Lytechinus pictus: one gene and its partner. The protein of the gene in region 1 interacts with the protein of each later gene in a pairwise test. Links are inferred from orthologs where the notes say so. Each region holds a gene or a part of one and is shown on either strand. Other genes may lie near its edges.

What was found. The genes of interacting proteins can lie anywhere in the genome.
Region 2: the proteins of peroxisomal membrane protein PEX16-like (region 1) and peroxisomal biogenesis factor 3-like interact in binary tests that used the Homo sapiens proteins (3 or more experiments, as listed by UniProt). The link is inferred for Lytechinus pictus from reciprocal best matches to the Homo sapiens genes PEX16 and PEX3.

Annotation. Positions count from the first base shown.
Region 1 is NC_087253.1:15,132,745-15,140,184, forward strand, and holds the start of peroxisomal membrane protein PEX16-like, read left to right. Parts: upstream 1-4,395; 5' UTR 4,396-4,528; coding exon 4,529-4,706; intron 4,707-7,440. UniProt on the Homo sapiens protein: Required for peroxisome membrane biogenesis. May play a role in early stages of peroxisome assembly. Can recruit other peroxisomal proteins, such as PEX3 and PMP34, to de novo peroxisomes derived from the endoplasmic reticulum (ER).
Region 2 is NC_087261.1:10,885,650-10,893,549, reverse strand, and holds the start of peroxisomal biogenesis factor 3-like, read left to right. Parts: upstream 1-4,891; 5' UTR 4,892-4,974; coding exon 4,975-5,047; intron 5,048-7,900. UniProt on the Homo sapiens protein: Involved in peroxisome biosynthesis and integrity. Assembles membrane vesicles before the matrix proteins are translocated. As a docking factor for PEX19, is necessary for the import of peroxisomal membrane proteins in the peroxisomes.

The DNA.
Region 1 (7,440 bases):
TTTCCGACCTGAAATCCGAACATCATGTGTACTTTTTGTAGCCATGAACGTGATCTTCACTAAATAAATAATGCCAGCGCGAAGCTCGAGCCGATTTTGTTTTTATTCCAATCTCAAAACTAAAGATTTTAAGCGCTTTATTAATATAAAAATGTGCACTGTGTAACTCCATAAACAATTTGAACACGAAGCGTGAGCAGAAATTTTTAATATTGATTTAAAAGAGACCTTTTTAATCGCTGATTTTTCATCTACTCATTTTTTTCTTTTCTTTCCCCTTTTCTTTCTTTCTTTTTTTTCTTCCAAATTTCATGTTCTTCCATTTTCGCGCCGCCATAGGGGGGGGGGGGGGTGGTGCAGCCCCTTCGGCCCCTGGATCTGTCAATGGACTACTGATATTTTAATCATTGGTTGAAATCCCCCATGGCTTGGAACGAATGTGAATAAAGTACATGCAGAAAAAAACCGGGGAACCTTATTACATGGTTATGCTAATGTGCATATTTTATTTTATTTTTCCTTTTTTTTTTTACTGCAAACTGTTCAATTTATGTTCTAATCCCCAACCTCCAATTACACAACTATCGTTCAATTAATCCAAGATACATTGATAATTTTTCCTTTTCCTTTTTTTATATTTTTCCCCTATTTAGTATTCAGCTCTCGTTAATGCAAGAAATTATTTTTAGTTCATTCATTATTTTTATCTTAATATGACGTGCGTGGCTTTTTCCAACGCAATTACGCCTATTCACATAATCTCTAATACCGAATTTGTTAGATCTGCTTATTTATTTCACGTAATCCTTTTTTAACATTTCAGGGGATTCGCAGTTGAAAAACTTTTCATTGTAATTTATCAATAAATGCGCTTAAACATATTATGAAGAGGTAACAGGTAAAAGGGACTTAATCCATTTTTCAACATTTGGTATTTTTGGAAGGTTTAGACGGACATTCACCGCTTGTGCATCAAACTGACTAAAGTGCAACTCCCAAAAGATTCAAAAACTTTATTAAGAATGGACATGAAATTTACTTTTTCCACGCAAAACAGACTAAATCTGAAACATTGTTTATGCAAAACGAATTAAATCTACCTTTGCTGAATCTTCATAAACCATTTTTTTCCACCCAAATCTATATTACAATTCAGGAAGTTATCTTCCTACATTTATGAGCCATCAATATATCACTTCGTAATTCCGAAGGTTCATAATTCCGAAGGTTCTTTATTCCGACGGTTCGTAATTCCGAAACACGTAAATTGCCTATACCTCGATGTTCGTTAATCCGAAAACGTAAAAGGGTTCGTTAATCCGAACATTTGTGGCGTTATTCCGAAGGTTCGTTAATCCGAAAACGAAATAAGGTTCGTTGTTCCGAAGGTTTGTTAGTCCGAAAACGAAATAAGGTTCGTTAATCATTAGTTTTCGGACTAACGAACCTTCGGAATTACGAACCTCATTTCGTTTTCGGATTAACGAACCTTCGGAATTACGAACCTTCGGAAATACGAACCTTCGGAATAATGAACCTTCGGAATATCCGAACCTTCGGAATAACGAAGCTTCGGAATTACGAATGTATGCGCAATAGGTTGATGATAAAAATGATAGTTTAAAAATCCTGCAGATGTCTTTTATTTGATATGAATTTGTGTATATATTTTGGATATAATCCCTTTTTGCATGAAAAGTCCATGCAGAGGGGTAACAAATGTACAGAAGGTTTAACATGAACATTATAGTACTTATCTCTTCCCCTACCCTTAGTTTATAGATTGGAAATGGTTGACTGGTCTCTATACTAGTTACAGGTAGAAGATTTGCCTGACATAGCAACAAATTAAAATTAGTTTTCATTCAAAAAGGACTAAATCCATAAAAATTATAAATATAAAAGAATCATATAAAATAAAAGACATCTGCAGCTTTTTTTTTTTCGTTACCAATATTGATGACTCTTAAACATAGTATAGTAATTTCCTGAAGGGAAACATAGATTTGGGTGAAATTAGAAATGTTGATTTATGAAGAATGAGCAAAAGTGGATTTAGTCGCTTTTTCATGCAAATTCTTCATAACTTTGAATGGATCTAAAAACCGACAGTGTAAATATTCAAAACATCAAGCGTAATGAATTTGTTCAGGTTTGTCTCTCGATGACAAATTGGCCGTCCGCAAAATAAGTGAATTAAAAGCAAGATTTGAAAATCAAATAAGAATATAAAACTAAAAAAAAGCCATATATAAAAAGAAATATAAGAATATATAAATAATGATAGATTTATTGATTTGTATGGAATACACTTTCCTATGCATGGCCCTGGGAAGCGGGGGTGCTGAGGCACCTCCAAGATTTTCCCAGGGGGTGCTGCGTGTACACAGCAAAAACTGTGGTGTTAACCGGTGTACATAGAGGACCACACCAGTTGTTTTACACCGGTGTTAAATTAGTGGTGTTAGTTTTACACCCATAGGTGTTATTACAACACCTTTGGCTGTTACATTTACACTCTTTGGTGTTATGTTCATTCTCTAGGGTGTAATTTTAACACCTCAGGGTGTGGTCCTCTATTAACACCAACTGGTGTCAGTTTTAACACCACAGTTTTTACAGTGTATTACTCTCCATAGGCAGCACCCCTAGAAAATCTGGTATGGTAAATTTTGAAAAATATAGGGAAATTACGCACCTTTTGGAGTGAAAACCTTTCTTTATTTATTTTTGTTTGCTTGTCAAATTTCTTGGCACCAAAACGGCTTTTTTTTTGCTATTTAAATTTACTTCAGCACCCCCAGCAAAAAAAAAAATCGTTCTCAGGGCTCTGCATGCTTCTATTCTGTTTTATCAAGGACTCTCGTTGCCCCGAACCATAGGCTTCTTATAACGAGGACCTGTCGAGTGATCGTGTCAGCATATCTATCCCAAAACAAATCTAATACTCGTACTTCAAGAACAAAAAAATATTAAGTAAATTTTATATACATCCGTTTCAAATCCGATTTTGAATGTTTACATGATTTTGTCGATAATTATGCTCAATGTGTACACTCGTATATATATATTTTTTTATAAACATGTGAACATATATATTTTTAAGAATTCATTTCATTGTTTCTCCAACCGTCCTGCTTCAAATTGCCACATTAATATAATTCCTCAGTAACTCATTGCCCCCGAGATCCATACAGTTCATGACAGAATAGTATCATACTCACTTCCTGTAAAGAAAAAAAAACGAAGAAAAAAAAATAATTGGTTACCCATCCAAGCCAAATTTACAGAATGATGGTATTTTCAGAGTATCCGAACAGATTCATTTCTGATACCACCACAACCACCATTATCATCGTTATCATCATATATATATGATGAAGGAATTGAAAAATTAGACATTGATAAGGATCTAAAGAAAAAGGGAAAGTAAGAAATGTATATTTTGCCAGTTATTTTGTAATTGTATTTCAGAGTTTTGTATGTGATATTGATTTTGTATGAAAATAAATGCCCCTGTTATGGGTGAAAAAAACATCATCATCATCATCATCCACCACCACCACCACCACCATCATCATCATCATCCTCCTCCTTCTCCTCTTCCTCCTCCTCATCATCATCATCATCCACCACCACCACCATCACCACCATCATCATCATCATCATCATCATCATCATCATCCTCCTCCTCCTCTTCCTCCTCCTCCTCCTCCTCATCATCATCCTCCTCCTCCTCCTCCTCTTCCTCCTCCTCCTCCTCCTCATCATCATCCTCCTCCTCCTCCTCCTCTTCCTCCTCCTCCTCCTCATCATCATCATCCTCCTCCTCCTCATCATCATCATCATCCTCCTCCTCCTCCTCCTCCTCCTCATCATCATCATCATAATCATCATCATCCTCCTCCTCCTCCTCTTCTTCCTCCTCTTCCTCCTCCTCATCATCATCATCGCCTTGAGTAAAGTGGAAGGTACGCTACGAAAATTGGATTATTATGACCTTTAGCGGCAACAGCATCGTCACCAGTTCCCTATTCAGTCAATCAAACATTATTTTGTAATGTTTTATTTGAATAAATATATAAATCGTTTAATCACATTCCATGAAAATTCGTTTGGAGACACTATTGCTTCAAATAAAAATCCGTTTGCAATTGTTTTGCGTGAATCATATAGAATCAAATTAAAGGTATTATGTGTCACTATATGGTCCGAATGCATACTTTTGTATCTTGGAAAAAAATTGCTATCATTACGGAGGTAGAATAACAAACAACCAAACAAAACAAATAAACAAAGCCAAATCAAGTTGGTCTCAGAATTATTTGTTGGGTTTGTTTGTAGGAGACTAGGAGTAGCATGAGCAAGAGATGGCGCCCCACCATCCGATTTTACTACCCCGGCCAAATATGCAATAAAACCAACAAATTTTACAACCAACGGGACTACAATCTTCTTCGCGTAATTTGCCTGTTGATTAGGTTGATGTCTCGGAAAAACTCTGCTCGTAAAGAGTTATTGATTAAAAATGTCAGCTTCGCCATTGAATACACAGGAGCAAGCATGCATCAGTATGAAATATCTTGGTAAAATGTGTTTAAGATACCAAGAAACATGTGCTTGGTATCGAAAGTGGGTCGTCGAAAATCCTGACGTTGTTTCTCAAGTGGAAAAGACATTTCGTGTGCTTTCATACTGCATAACGGGTGAGTAATTCTCTCTTTATTAACAAAAAAAATCACGGTATTATTTTTCTTCTTAATTTCAACACAGCTCCTAACACTATATTGCATATATATATAAAAAAATGTGGACTTTAGCTATGGTAGCCAGCCTGAACTGTGTCGATTGTCCAACAACAGGCCATTTTCAATAATTCAAAATCATTGTCTTTCCACTCACTTCTCTGTTCTCACTCTCAGTCATCATGCTTCATCGATCATGGACCGTCTAATTTTTTAAATCTATTTTGTAGAAGTTGTTGTTTCAATTTTTAGAATAAATGAAATGGATCTAACTTAGCTAGGATAAAGGTAGACAGGAATAACTGTCGTTTCTGGGGATTTATTCAACAATTTCTGACATTTTACTATAGGGCCTAATCCCCATTCACCTTGACTTGAGTGAGCCAACGCAGTTCAGCGGAACAACCAAAATACAGAGACTGAAGCTTTTGGTCTAGGATAAAGGTACCTCGAGCGATGTTCGTGCAGGCTCCACTCCACTTCACTACCGCTACACTACGCTCCACTTACCGAAGGTAGGTGGAGCGTAGTGTAGCGGAAGTGGAGTGGAGCCTGCACGAACATCGTTCGAGGTAGGATATAGATTAAAGGCACCTATTCTTTATTATAAGCAAATGATTCACTAGACAGGAATAACCATCGTTTCTGGGGATTTATTCAGCAATTTCTGACATTTTACTATCATCCCCTTTCACATGACTATTGGTGAGTGAGCCAACGCAGTTCAGCGGAACAACCAAAATACAGAGACTGAAGCTTTTGGTCTAATGATTCACTCCTTTTCCTTGTTTTTATCAATCTCAGAATCAATAATTTAAAACCAGTGCAGTGTAGGCTGTATTAAGATAAACTAAAACTTAAGTTAAAGTAAACATGTCTGCGCACTTAAGTTATAATTAAAGTTAAGATTTAATAAGAATTCCACAAAACAATTCAGTTTCAGAAGTTCCTTATATTCTATGAGTAAGTGTGCCAAAAATCTCATAAAAATATGGAAAAACCTCGGCCAGTCATTTTCAGATTGAACAAAACAATGCCATGGTGCCCCATGTCTGCGCACCCATAAATTTTGATGAGAAAGGCTGCATTTTGAGGCTGTCACATGAAATGCCAATATTCATTATTTTTCCACCATTTTGAGTCAGATTTTTTAATCAATATCTTTCTATTTATTGCATGTGTAAAGTTTGTGGTTGCGTATCTTCTTTCTTTAGAATCATGCAGTTATGTGTATGCATGTGTGCGCAGACAAGGGCTTATTTTTTTTCTTTCATTCTCTCCCCCTCTCTTAATTTCTTTTTTTCTTCCTCTGGTTATTTTCAGTGATTTCCCCTTTTTGTATTGTGTGTCCTAGTCCCCTCCAAAATATATGAAAAATATATGAGATTAGGAAATTAATTAAAGAGCATATTGACCATATATATTTTGTCATGATGTTCAAGATAAAAATTATTAAAAAAAAGAAATACAACTAAAAGGTACATCTAGTCCGGGTTATAATTGAGCAAGGTGCCACAAGAAAAAGGAGAAATTTTCATATAGTGCTTCTAGACCAGTTTTTTACGCTGAATATGAATATATGAGGTAACCAGGCTGTATCCTGAAAATTAACCAGTGAGGGTGCTTTTTTCAAAATGGCCGCCGAATTTTCAGAACATTTGAATTTTCGTACATAGATTTTGACATAAATATTCCATTGCCACAAAATTAGTGTCATATGAAAGACAAATAAATTTTCTACAATTTGGTACTATTTATAGGGGATAAGTAGGTCATTTGGCTGAGATTTTAAGTAGAAAACTGCATTTTTTGTCATTTTTTCCCAAAAATTGAAAATTTAGCAAATACATGATTTTACATAATTCTGAGAAAAATGAATGAATTACCTTGAAATGTTCCAGAAAACTTTATTGACATACTATTATCATGTGGATGAAATTCCAACTCTGTATCATTCTTCTTAGCAAATTTATAAGGTATCAAACTTGAATACTTCAATTTCAGAAATGTCGCTTTTTGTATGCATTTCCATAGACTAATACGTATAACATGTACTGTACATGTATAATATGTATAATGTATAGTTTAATAAAATTTAAATGCAATTATCTCCGCTTTTTAACCACTTGGAGAGTTAAGAGTAGGCTTTTCTCTATCAGCTACATAAAACAAAATGTTGGCACATCAAGGCCTGACCCTCTCATGGGGTGGGGGTGTCGAAGTCACCCCCCCCCCTTGCCCTTGGCTATATCATGTTGTATATTGCCTATTTGTTGGAAAAATATCTGTTTTTTGGAGTACCCATTGAAGCAAAAACAGGCATTTCTGCTATACAGTACAGTCACTTTGATTGCTTTGAAACCACTTGGAGAGGAAAGAGTATATAGGCTTTGTTCTACCAGCTACATACAAAGTGGCACATCGAAGCCTACCCCTCTCGGGGGGGGGGGGGGTTGCTTAATATTGCCAATTTATTTGAAAATTCACAATTTTGGACCCAACATTGAGGCCAAAAATCGTTTGTGCTTTGTTGTACACCCCATTTTATTGATTTGAAACCACTTAGAGAGGAAAGAGTAGAGTTTGTTCTACCAGCTACATATAAATAAGCACTGGCACATTGAACCCTAGCCCTCTCATGGGCTGTCTAAGTCACCCCCCTCCCCCTCTATATCATGTATATTGCCGATTTATT
Region 2 (7,900 bases), on another chromosome or scaffold:
AGAATTTATCTTTTAAAAAAAAGTTGCGAGCGAGCGAAGCGAGCGAACAAAAATTTTGACCTTTTTAATAGAAAAATCAAATTTTATGGTAGATTTTGACATGATATCCAGAAAATATTTCACTATTCTTTCTTTAGATTCCTTTTTTGTGGTCTGTACGCCACTGTGAACAGGATTCTTTGCTGCAGCAGCGTGAAGAGTAAAAAAAAACGAGGGGCGCAGTATAGCACATGTGCTAAAAAGCTGCTTTATATACAAGTCCCGAGCGAAGCGAGCGAGAAAAAAAATCACCTTTTCATGAGAATCTAACTTTGAGCTATTTTTTGACATTATATTCAGTAAATAAAATCATATCCTACACTTTTCCATTGCTTTCCTTTCCTCCTTTTTTTCTTGTCTGTAGAACTATTTTGGGCCATGGCCCAACCCTTCCATATACGCAGTGCTGTGCGGTTGGGGTCCGGGGCGGAGCCCCCGGAACTTCTTGATATCAAAGCCATTTAAACCTCGCAGATTGCCGCTATTTCAATCAAATCGCGGGCATATAGTTTTTATTCAACCCAGTTGCGTAATGAAGCAACATATTTTGAGGGGGCAAAACATAGCAATGTGGGAAAAATTTGTAAAAAGTCGCCAGCGTGCAAAGCGAGCTGGAAAAAAAAATTGCCTATTGAAATCAAATTCTTATTATGTGATAGATTTTTCCATTATATTCAGCAAATAACACATTTCATTGTTTCCATTCATTTCATTATACGTTGTCTCCTATAATTTCTTTTATTTCCTCTTTGGTGTGGAACCAAGACCCCCCCCCCCCCCCCCTTCGCGCCTGTATGCCAGCGATTGAACGTGATTGTACGGGGGGGGGGCGTTATAGAGCCATTTGAATGTTATAAATAAAGAACCCCTACTGCGTGGGGTCTGGGGCAAAGCCCCGGTAGCTTATTTGCATATAATTTAGCAACCTTATAGAGCAATGTTGTATGCAGTCCATTTTTCTTCCCGCTTTTTAATTTCAATCATCGGCAGCCCGGTCGTGTTATTATTTTTGTTCGTGTCCCTTTTCTTTGTTTTCCACTTTAGTTTTTGACTAATTACATTCTATCTTCGCTTCCCGCTATTGTTTGCCATTTTATCATATTTTAATTTGTTCCCACCGTGCTATTGCATTACATAGGCCTATTTCGAAATGATTTGTTCTTTCTCAAATGTTCTTCTTTGGTACATTTTCCGGCTTTCCTTCCTTTTCCATTTAAAAAAATGTTTTTTCTTCGTTTTCTTTTAATTTTCCCTTTACTTTTCCCTTTCCTCCTTTCTTTTTCCCTTTCCTTCCCCTTTCCCTCTCTTTCTCCCTCTTTTTTTCTTTTTCCCGCTTTTCTTTTATTTTCCCGGTGAAATCCGCCAGGGGGGGGGGGGGCAACTTGCCCCCCCGCCTGTTACGCCACTGGTGAAGATCAATTCACATGTGCCTCAGATTCGATGTGTCAATATGAGAAAGGCGGGGAGGAAGGTATCTTATTAGTAATTCATGTTTGATCTTGAAATCTTTTCTGGATTTGTTGTTAAAGGTCAAGTCCACCCCAGAAAAATGTTGATTTGAATAAATAAAGAAAAATCAAACAAGCATTATGCTGAAAATTTCATCAAAATCGGATGTAAAATAAGAAAGTTATGACATTTTAAAATTTCGCTTATTTTTCACAAAACAGTGATATGAACAGCTCAGTGATATGCAAATGAGACAGTCTATAATGTCCCTCACTCACTTTTTCTTTTGTTTTTATTGTTTGAATTATAAACTATTTTTCATTTTTTACAGATTTGACAAATTAAGGACCAACTTGATTGAACCATATAGTATTAAACAATGCTAATTGCACATGTTCAGGGAGGAATTAACCGTTGTTTCACACGACAACAGGGAGAAAATGGGAATATTTCATATTTCACATAATAAAATACAAAAGAAATAGTGAATGAATGATGTCATCAGTCTCCTCATTTGCATACCGACAAGGATGTAAATATAACTGTTTTGTAAAATTAAGCGAAATTTTGAAATGTCATAACTTTCTTATTTTACATCCGATTTTGATGAAATTTTCTGTGTTATGCTTGTTGGATTTTTCTCTTTTTATTCAAATCAACTTTTTGTTGGGGTGGACTTGTCCTTTAAGTTACAATCAACTTTTTACAAATTTTACATAGACGTCACATTCATATGTCTTTGTCAATAGATTGACAGGTCTGCAGTTGCAACACATCATGATGTGTAATTAGTAAATGTTTGTGGGATACCATTTTTTGCCTAAATAATAATTGGAAGATATTTGCCTAGGAGACACGAATTTTTTAGTTCTGGGATGTCACAAAAATCGACCCAACCCGATGGACTTACCCTTATGAAATATTATATGGGATATTATACCCGTCTTAGATTATGAATAATGGAAATAAATCCATACAAGTTTTTGTTTATTTTTCCATATTGTTTTATTCAATCATTCATAGCTGCAATGATATTTTCTTATGAATACGAAATTCATATATGCATTGATTTATTTTTCTTTACTCTTTAAAAAAAATATTCTGCTTTTGAGTGAGATATGGGCTTATTGCTGGAAAAAACACAAATACATAAAAAAAAATGAAATTCATACCAACTCATTGACCTGGCTTTCAATATGTAATTCTTTTCAATGTTTGAGTGGGTGAATTGATGATGATGATGATGATGATGATGATGAAGACGATGATGACCATCAATGATTTCTTATCATACATTAATGGTGAGCGGAAAGATTCCAAAAGAATACTATAGACATAAATACAAAATTGATATTAATTTATATTTCTTTTTAAAATAAAATAAATATCTTGCATGTTTTTATTGCAATGCAATCCATGCTGAGTCATGGGGGTGAAAATTTATATTAATAGTACATGTGATTTTCTTAAAATAAGAATCAGTCGCAATTTGAAATGATTTCGAACTTGGCCCCAAATGCGGCAATACTTTGATTATGCCAGGAAACTTCCCATTTCCCTAATTATGCCGTGTAGTATAATGGTTAGTAATACTATCATGTCAGAGATTTTATTTGAGTATAAGAATGTAAGAACGGCCTAAGTCCATCTCTTGGTCAAATTGAGATACGTTGGTAATTAATAGGGGGCTATACTATGAGCCTATAATATGCTTGCATGATATGTTCTGGAATTCCTCCCGAAAGTGTCCAAAATTGATTTAAAACAAAAAGTGAGCACGATCCTCAGACATAAACAAAACTAATGTTGTTTTCTTAATTTACTCAAAATGAACTGTCATGGACCTGGATCGTTATCACAATCGTATACACATTTTCGTTGTTATTAAAAGAAATATATACATAAATAAACAGAGAGAGAGAAATTTAAAAAATGAGATGATTGATCATTATAATGGAGAATTTGATCATGGGGGTGATGGATTGTGTATTCAGGAAGATCGGAAGAAGTGGGAAGAATACAGAGATCGAGGAAGGGTAAATGAATGAATGAGAGTCGGGTCAAAATGATCATTACAGCAAGGGGAAAACATCGAGATATACAGTGCGTATCAAAAAAAGTTTACACTTTGAAAAAATCCTGTAAAATTATAAATTTGTAATATCCTGAAGATTTTTCCACATTTTAAAATTGGTACAGATCCATTTAAGCAAATGACGATATAACTGTCGAAAATTATTTCCGCTTGAGTGAGCACCACTTACTTTTGAAAATTTAGTGAAAAATGATTTGCGCAGAACTTTGAAATAGTTGTGCAAATAAAAGTAGACCTTAATCATGAAGAAAACGTGGAATTTAGCTAGTAAAATTTATTTGAAGACATCTTTTACCTTTTTAAACTTGTTTCCTTGCCCAAAACACTTCGAGGAGTGCATTGTGCCCCACCCCACTCCCCCACACACCGAGGCCATCGAGATGATATTTGCTTTACATTGAGCTGTGATTTACATGAAATGGCTTAGGCTTGATTTTAATTTTGTTAATCATTGTCAAGCTTGGGAAAAGTGTGGAGAAACAAGTATTAAATGAAAAATGAAATGTAAACCCACTTTAAATGATAAAAACTTAGTGAAAAAATGCTGGAGATGTCTGATATAAACTTTTATGTCCTCAGATCCAGCTCGCACAAAAAAGGGTAAAGGTTGTGCTTACTAAATGTTGAAATTTCAATTTGGGTGTCAAAATTGTTGCAAAATGCTTGAATGTATCCGTTTTATTTCAATTGACTAAAAGAGCAAGGGAAATGTATGAGAGATTTTTCGCAGGGTAAGTTTGATTTCGCCCTTTCCCCTTGACACAGCGTGAAAACGAGCATTTCTGCGCAAACAGATTTCTGCGAGCTTTACAAAAATGGACAGTGCTCACTCAAGTGTAACATTCTGTCAAAACTTTTACTTTCATTGGATAGATGAGACCCAAACCCAAGATTATATGTGAAAAGTTTACCCACATGTTGTATATTTTTGAATTCCCCGGGCTTTTTTAAAGTGTAAACTTTTTTTTTGATACGCACTGTAGAACCCAGCGTTGTATCACGGACAAAACAGCTTATAACAATTATTTTTTGTATTATTTCTGTATAAAAGACAAAATGTACATGTTTGAAAATCAATCAGCCAGTGACAGTTTTTGTCCTTAATTGCTGGAAAATAAACCTCAGTCAAATCGACCAAAGAAGTTTCGGCAACTCACATCGAGAACTTTTGTACCGTGTCTCCGAGGGAGAGATAGCGATCTTGTATTTTCGCTTGATGCGAAGCGAATGCATTTATTTGGACGAGATGATCAAAGTCTATTTTATTGTTTACATTTTCTCGTTTCGCTCACGCGCACGCGATCACGATTACAATGTGAGCTTGTGACCCTTAATACGTCGACTTAATTTGTTTCTTCTAACAATTTAGGAGTTTACACGCCTAGAGTACAATGTTGGGGAGCATCTGGAACTTTGTAAAGCGTCACAGAAGGAAATTCTTCGTGCTTGGTGCATTTGCAGGAGGTATGTTTTAACTTTTATTTTTTTGTTTTCTGAATTTCGATATGTGAATTTTTGTGATGACGTTCCCACTCGTTTATTTTTGTGTGAGTGACTCTGGTCTGGACAACTTTGCCAGCAATAAATCAAAATGTGCGTACGGTACCGTATGTGGAACATGCCATCCGATGTGTGCACACACAAATGGATATTACCAGTTTAGTGTGATATGCACGCAATTGAATAAGTGGTTTCACGCTTATCCAGCGGGTTAAAGCTAATCCCAACACCAAGGCAGTTTGGACCATGCTTTGAATCTACCCACTCCTAGACCTAGTACCAATGAGGTCCAAACATTAACATATATGTATGGACCTCATAGGCGACATTACCCAAATTATGGGTTGGACAATGCTGTTCTGATTTCCAACCCAAGACTTTGGTAAATGTACACCTTAATACAAGTTAGAGTTATCCGATATACCTTTCATTCGGACGGCAAACCTTTATTTAGTTGTAAAAATAGTTGAAATTAAAATCGATTATTGTTAAACTTACATTTCAGGCCCTTTTTGTTGATTTTCGGTGAGCGTTCCACACAGCTGCAACGAGTGATCAACTCCGAAGTGATACGCGTACTGGTCAGCTGATCGGTCAGGTGATCGGTTGGTTATCTTTTTGTCAGACGTTCATAATTTATGTTAAGCGTATCAATCTTCAGTATCTTGATTTCAAAGCTAGGTACGCTACTCTAGCGCGAGAGGGCGCGATTTTCGCGTCATCATTTTCGCGTACGAAAATGGCGACAAGCTGCTTCGGGAGCCGGTGCGAGCAATAACGGCAAGCCCTACTTGAGTCTCCTGTCTAGGATAGTAAACGTATATCAATGGGAATGAAAACGATAACATCATCTTCCCAATGCATTCAGCTATACTGCACGGTTAGCTCTTGCGACGGAGGATCGAGATCGGAACAAAAATTGCACTAAAACAGTCTGTAAGTACAGTTTATGCATCAAATCATCATTATATGTTATTTTCATGGAATTATCAGACATATTACGCTAAAAATACATATGCTACTCGAAAATTGAAGTCGTAAGCTTTCATTTCTTACCTCATTCATGGCAGCATTTCTTGCCACCATTTGCCACGGACGAATGTTAAACGCCCTTGCTATTTGTTTCGTGGGATTTTTTTTTAAGTTTGGCGACGCGTTTCGCGGGCTCATTTATGGCGGCTGCTAGGGTTTTTGGTTGCCCGCGGTGTGTAGTCCTGCGCATTGGAATTTGTGTAGCAGACCGTCTACCGTGATATGTCTGGTATTTCTTTGATTTAAAAAAACTTTTTCTTTTTTATAAATTAGGAATTGAAAACCAGACACAAATGTAGAAATCAGAAATATATCCCACACTGACACACATTAATTTTGATTGAATAAAATATTGAAAAAAAATGGCAAATGACGCAACAACTTTCTGAATCTTCTCGAACCTAATTTTAGCCTTTACTTTAGGTAATTTACTTTAGTCTTGATTTATTATTTGATGATTATATTCTGTTGAAAATTCATGTAACATGATTTCTTTTGGCCTAATCAATCTTTACATTTTTATTATTTTAAAAATGAATGGCCTAGATCTAATTTAATTCATTATCATTTTAATTTTCTTTTGTTTTCATATTTTTATTTTCATTCAGATTAATTTCTTATCTCCATTTGAGCATGGCAATACTTACTGATCTGAAGTCGAGGGGCCCAACAATGAACAGACTTGGGCTGAGCCGTCGAATATCTGTGGTTCCAAGAAAGCGTGATGGAAATGCCGCCTTAAAAAAACCAACCCCACCTCTGCCTCTGGGCTTTGTTCTTGGCGATCCTGCATTCCATTCAGACTGCAACTTTAAGCAGGAATTGTTCTACCAACTACTTAATTATTCACAAATGTGAATTGCAGCTTTTAAATTGACAAGAAAGAAACAATTGATTTATCTCACCCCCCCCCCAACTGTCTTCTAACATTTTCTATCACCCCAAACTAACACTTTTTTCTTGTATGTCTGTTTACATATTTTTATTTAGACTTTATGTAATTTTTTCATGATTTATTTAAGAAGTATGAGCGAAAAAAAAACAATTTGGCACATGCAGTAGAGAAGAGAAGGAACATAGTGTTTCAAAAGGATACACATACAGATCTGAATGTTAAAATAAATTTAAAAAAGAAATGACAAATCCACACTGACACATGAAAGTATTCATTTTATTTTTTTTCCTTGTTGGCATTGGTTACATTAATTAACTCCACATAAAAATATAAATTGGGATATTTTAACAGTATTAATGAAGTTGCTCAATAAAATTTAAAATTAGGTATTCTCATTGGAGGTAATGGTTGATACAGATGGGTGGGTGGACCTGCAGCCACTAGCGTACCTATGGGGGGGGGGCAGACTGCCCCCCCGACGAGTCACAACCCATGCAAGGGACGTATCCCTGCCCCCCCCTGATGAGCCACCGGTGGCCCCCTCCTTTGAAGTTTAAGACCTTTTTTTTTCTGGTGCGAAATGTACTTAATAACCTGTTGAGGACCTTTTTTTTTTTTTGGCTTGTAATTTTTTTTTCTGGTACGAAATCCTTTATTTGTGGTTGAAGACTTTTTTGCTTGTCAAATTTTTGGGCGGACGATTTTGCCCCCCCCCCCTGTGAAAAATCCTAGGTACGCTACTGCCTGCAGCTCTATTGTTTTATTAGATTTTCATTTTTTATTGCTGGGGGGGGGGGGTATTATGTAGAGATGAAGCCAAATGATCTTATGAGGCAAGATTCAGTGTACAGCTCAATATGATGCATGTAAAGTGATTTATTAAACTTTTG